Linked DNA regions of Canis lupus familiaris. The main gene of each other region encodes a partner of the protein of the gene in region 2 in a complex. Links are inferred from orthologs where the notes say so. Each region holds a gene or a part of one and is shown on either strand. Other genes may lie near its edges. The genes, in order: H2AJ and SCML2.

The links.
Region 1: the proteins of SCML2 (region 2) and H2AJ are in contact, whole or in part, in a crystal structure (PDB 4EDU), measured with the Homo sapiens proteins. The link is inferred for Canis lupus familiaris from reciprocal best matches to the Homo sapiens genes SCML2 and H2AJ. Residues at the interface, in NP_006080.1 of Homo sapiens: Asp182, Asn185, Tyr187, Leu188, Cys190, Phe206, Trp209, Phe213, Pro239, Pro240, Gly241; in NP_808760.1 of Homo sapiens: Leu35, Arg36, Lys37, Gly38.

What each region holds. Positions count from the first base shown.
Region 1 is NC_049248.1:14,343,602-14,346,440, reverse strand, and holds H2AJ (histone H2A.J), read right to left. Parts: upstream 1,513-2,839; 5' UTR 1,386-1,512; coding exon 996-1,385; 3' UTR 805-995; downstream 1-804. UniProt on the Homo sapiens protein: Core component of nucleosome. Nucleosomes wrap and compact DNA into chromatin, limiting DNA accessibility to the cellular machineries which require DNA as a template.
Region 2 is NC_049260.1:14,422,989-14,425,856, forward strand, and holds part of SCML2 (sex comb on midleg-like protein 2), read right to left. Parts: intron 1,217-2,868; coding exon 1,065-1,216; intron 1-1,064. UniProt on the Homo sapiens protein: Putative Polycomb group (PcG) protein. PcG proteins act by forming multiprotein complexes, which are required to maintain the transcriptionally repressive state of homeotic genes throughout development.

The DNA.
Region 1 (2,839 bases), on a different chromosome or scaffold from region 2:
ATGAGGTCATTACTCCAGGCCAGTGGGGGAACCTAAGAGCATTCAAGCAAGTTTTTTGTTGTTAGGAAGCAAAATCAAACTAATTACATTTCCAAAGAAGTATAGTATGATGGGGACAAGACCATCATGAGAAAATCGTTTTTAAAAAGCTCCTAAGCATAAGTAGCTCATGACTAAAGACACTGCACTGTTATGCAACATGGGTGTTGGGGGAACAAATTTACTCATGACTCATGCTTCTGTATTATACATATCACTGGATGTTCCCTTCATTTTAAAGAAATGTGCACATAAACGTGTATATTAAAATAACCTGCTATCCAAAACATGAAAACACGACAGCTACCAGGCTGAGAAAAAAAAATCTGTTGACACTGTCTACTTTTCCAAGACGGAAAGTTACTCCACCTTTTGAAAAGTACGGTCAGGGAGCCAACTTCCTGCTTGACACCAGCTAACCCCCCACTGCGTCTCCGGAACTGGGTCCTCCGGAGCAGCCCAGACAGGACAGGAGAGTGAAGGCCCTGGGAATGAGACGTACAAACAACCCCCCTGCCGCCCCCGCACGCGCACCCCACTCTGCCCCTCCTTTGCTTTAAGGCGAGAGGGGATCCCAGCTCTGCCCACCTCCAGCCCGTGCGCCCCCCGCGGTCCCGCTCATCCGCCCACAAAACACCTCGGGGGTGCGGACCCAAGTAGTCCACAAGCGGCTGAAACCGACCCCCCAGTACCTGCTCCAGAGGTCTCCTGGTCGCCCCCCGGGTCATCCGGAGGGTCCCCGACACTACATAGCTCTCTCGACCACACGATTTTCACCGACTTTATTGGCCTCGGACTCCGCGGGCCCCCTGCCACCCACCTCCCCACTAGATCGCGCCAGCCTTCCAGGACATCGAGTATATTGGGGGGGAAAAAAAAAAAAAAAAGAATACTGCGGGGTGGCCATGAAAAGAGCCCTTGCTGGGGAAGCCAGCTCCCCTGTGGCGGCGTCAGGGTCACTTGCTCTTCGCCTTTTGACTCTCGGTCTTCTTGGGCAGCAGCACGGCCTGGATGTTGGGCAGGACGCCGCCCTGCGCGATGGTGACTTTCCCCAGCAGCTTGTTGAGCTCCTCGTCGTTGCGGATGGCGAGTTGCAGGTGGCGCGGGATGATCCTGGTCTTCTTGTTGTCACGAGCGGCATTGCCGGCCAACTCCAGGATCTCAGCCGTCAGGTACTCCAGCACCGCCGCCAGGTACACGGGCGCCCCGGCGCCCACTCGCTCCGCGTAGTTACCTTTGCGCAGCAGCCTGTGCACTCGGCCCACCGGGAACTGCAGGCCCGCGCGGGAGGACCGGGACTTGGCCTTTGCCCGCACTTTGCCGCCCTGCTTTCCGCGACCAGACATGGTTACCTCCTCGCCTACAACTCCTGCGAGGGCGGGAGACACAGCCGCGGGGTCTGAGCGAGTGGCTCACTGCAACGTACCCCGCCGGAACTGCCTCTGCCACTTTGCTGACACTGGGCAGCGCCTTCCCATTGGACGCAGCGACATCTGGGGCTCTGGGACCAATGACAAGCAGGCTCCGCTCCCAACCAGCGCTCCGGGCAGAGGCACCTCCTTCTCCAGCTCTGTCCAGTCAAAGGAGCAAACTCCCAGCCCTCATTTACAAAGCCTCTCCTATGAATGCCCGGGACCCCAGCGCCCCGCATCCGGAGCCTCCGTTGACTTCACCGGCTCCTGAGGTTTCAGGGTCCAAGTTCGCTCCTAGGAAAAGGACGTCTTAAGAATTAAGGAACCACGGTTAAGAAACTGCAAACTCAAATAAATAAATAAATAAATAAATAAATAAATAAATAAATCAATCAATCAATCAATCAAACTTAAAATTAAAAAAAAAAAAAAAAGAAAGAAACTGCAAACTCCGGAAGAGCTACCCCGTACAAGTATAAAGCACTCAAGCGACCAAAGCCTCAAGCACCTGAGGCCGCAAGTTGAGCCCCACTTCCTTCCCCACGGTGCCCTGCCCGCGAGGCGGATTTCCTCGCACCGTACAGTACAGCAGCATCCTAGCAGCTAGTTAACCTGACTCCAGACACCGCGCTTGGGGGGGTGGGGGTGGGGGGCAACAGTGCTCCTCTGCCTGCCATTTCTCTAAACCAGCGCCTGTCTCCTGCAAGCCCAGATGCTCCCTTTGCCCAGCAGTGTGGAGAGCTGGCTCCGAAAGGTGCCTGGGACTGGCCACCTGAACTTTCTCAACCAGACCAAATGACACGGGGCTCCCCGCGTGCCCTGCCGCTCCCAGGTTGCCAGTATTCGCTTCTGCGGAACTAGAGCGCTGCACTAGACGCGAATGCTTTCTTCACAGACTGCAGAACAAGCTCGCGTAGCCAGAACTCAACGTCTCTTGTGTTCGACGTTGTGAGCCTGAAAAGTCTCTGGATGCCAGGGGGAGGATGCAGGATCAGTCTCTGAGACACAAAGTCTGGGCCTTGGCTTCCTCCTTATTGATCACTGCGGGGCTGACCATGTTCTCCACGGAGACTCGGAGCCCCGAGGTAAATAAGGTCGCCTAAGACATTGTGGTGGCACTCGGTGGTCCCTTTTTCCAGCTCTCTACTGCCCCTGCGGCGCTCAGAGGTCATGAAAAAGACAAAAGAATAGTAGCAACCGTCCTTACCTAAATTGCAGAGCCAGAGCATTTGGAACAAAGTAAGGTTGTTTTTGTTTTGTTTGTTTTGTTTTTTAAGATTCATTTATTTATTCAAGAGAGAGACACAGAGAGACAGGCAGAGACATAGGCAGAGGGAGAAGCAGGGTCCCCTGCAGGGAGCCAGATACGGTACTGGATCCCAGTACCC
Region 2 (2,868 bases):
AAAAATGGCCTAAGCATCAAACTATCTGATTTTAAATACTGTGTGTTGATTAAAATACTACATATCTATGACAACGGGTAGAAAACTATGAATCGTAGAAATCAATTTCAGACGGTCATTAACTTTCTTAAAAAGGCTGGGAATATGAAGATGTCAGCATCAATGCAAACTGTAAATGTGTTATACAATGTTGTCTTTATGTTGAAAACTAATCAATTAGTTGTCTAAAGCTAAGCTAATTAAATGATAAAACTAATTACTGATTTTCTTAGAATACCGAAAAGGACGGAAGATATTTGGTTACTAATTTGTTAGAAAAGACTATAAACATTACTTAATAGACACAAGGCATCCTCCTAAAATTTTTTATTTCCTTAATTAACCAATGTACGTCAGAGAAGCATATTATTTGGTATTCGTGAGCTCCTATTTAAAATAAAACCACATTTAATCTTACACAGTTGCTGGATTCATAGGGCATCATTAACAAGGAGGACACCCTGTCACAGCTTGTGGTTACCACCTCCTACTCACGGTCCTGGGGCCGAGCAGGGAGCAGGTGGGGAGGAGGATCCTTGTGGGAGAAGACATCTGAGAGTGGCCATGCTGAATCATCTTCTTTTGAGAGCTTGAAGACTTGTAGTATTTTAGGTACTTGGGTACCCATTTAAAGCACAGATCCATGGGGCAGCCCGGTGGCTCAGCAGTTTAGTGCCACCTTCAGCCCAGGGTGTGATCCTGGAGTCCCGGGATCAAGTCCCACTGTCAGGCTCCCAGCATGGAGCCTGCTTCTCCCTCTGCCTGTGTCTCTGCCTCTCTCTCTCTGTGTCTTTCATGAATAAATAAATAAAATCTTTTAAAAAATAAAATAAAGCACAGATCCAGCCTCTATCGTTTAAGAATCTAACTTTGGGCCAAGTAACCTTTCTCATATATGGAAAAAAAAATCAGTTGATAGGATTCCCCCACCATCCACACTAATCAGCATCCATCCAACTGAAGGGCCTGCACAGAGGTCATTGAAAGGCATTACGGCAGGAAAACCGGATCAAAAGATACATTACATGTTGCCTGAAGAGGTCGGCGAGGGGGCCTGATATCTGAGGATCTTTATGTTTCATAAACTGTATCACTTCATCCACAGACCAGGTTGAAGGGTCCTTAGAGAAGCCTTGTTTCAGGACACTGGGGTCGGGTACAGCTATATAACTTGGAGCTTCAATGGGGGGGAAAAAAGACAAATCATACTTGACCTGATCATTATCCTGAAAGAAGAGATGTTAGGTAGGGAGAAATGGTCTCATTCCTGGAACCTTCTATCAAGCACCCCAGCAAGGACCCAGGACTCCAAGCGCAGAATCAAGTCAAAGGCTAGATTAGAATGACCTGAGGATGGCTACCCAAGAGCACCCCATCTGACCTCCCCCAAACAACAAAAGCAGCTTCAGAATTTACCTTAAAGCTTCAAAAATCGTAAAACAGACTGATCAATCTGAGGCCTTGCTGGCCACAGGCAAAGACAGCAAAGGATCTGTTGTGTGGGTTAAATTAGGTTAATGTAAGCTAACCTATTACTCTTTAAGTGTTTCAATGAATTTCAATCTCTCTCCCCATGGTCTTTGTAGATTAGGTTTCTTTTACTACCTAAATATAATGGAAAGTCTCCAGATTTTGTTTTTATAATTGCTTAAATTTATTCACTTTAATCAGTGAGTTTCAATAACCCCATTATCTTTGAGAACCAAATTAGTTTTTACTGAAACTCTCCCATGTATTCAATGTGGCTATTTATAGCATCACTTTACCATTTAAATTCCTGTCTCTTAAGGCTTAAATGCTTATCTGAATTTTGAAGAAAACAGGATTTTCTGCTTGGCTAGGTCAGAAGTAAAGTTAACATTATACTGAATGCCTCTCTCAAGTTTAATTGCATAGTAATAGATATTCTGATTGAATGTTTATAGGTCAAAGAAAGAAATAATTGAGACATAGAATAAATTATGCACTCCTACCCCCAAAAAGTTTTAGCTGTGCTGTTTACCAAGTTGTGCTGTAATTTGTGTCCAGACAAATACTCATTTTACACAACCAGAGCACTTGACTCTTTACTTAGTGTCAGAAGTGAGTTTTGTCATTTGCTAGGAAGATCTGTTTCCTTAAACAAGGACCATCAACACAAATTTGGTCTTTTTTTGGTGTGAATTAACCAAAGATACACCTTTTCTTTCCTATCACCTGGGCTCCAGCCATTTTAGGGGTATTTTGAGTATTTACCCAGATAAAGGGCAAAGAAAAAAAGGTAAACGAACTCACAATGGTAAGTTTTCCTGTGTGTAGCTCAAAAGTGTATTTATTTTCTCTTTCAATATACAACTTGGATGTAAACTAAAAGCTCTTTACTGGGATCCCTGGGTGGCGCAGCGGTTTGGCGCCTGCCCTTGGCCCAGGGCGCAATCCTGGAGACCCGGGATCGAATCCCACATCGGGCTCCCGGTGCATGGAGCCTGCTTCTCCCTCTGCCTGTGTCTCTGCCTCTCTCTCTCTCTCTCTGTGACTATCATAAATAAATAAAAGTTAAAAAAAAAAAAAAAGCTCTTTACTAAAATGTATCTTCCCTTTCACAGCCAGAGATAAAAATGCTGATCACATCTACCAGGAAATGCTACTGCACTGTTTCAACCCAAATGAAAATCATGATGGTATAGACCATGCCATGCCTAAGGCATTTTAACATTTTAGACAGAAAAGTCTTCTCCTTTAGTTCAAGAAAGACTTAAGATTAAGAAACTATTGACAAAACTAATCAAGTTAATCATACCTCTAAATAACTTTTTTGTGGGATTTCTGGTTTATGTCATCAGAATCCAG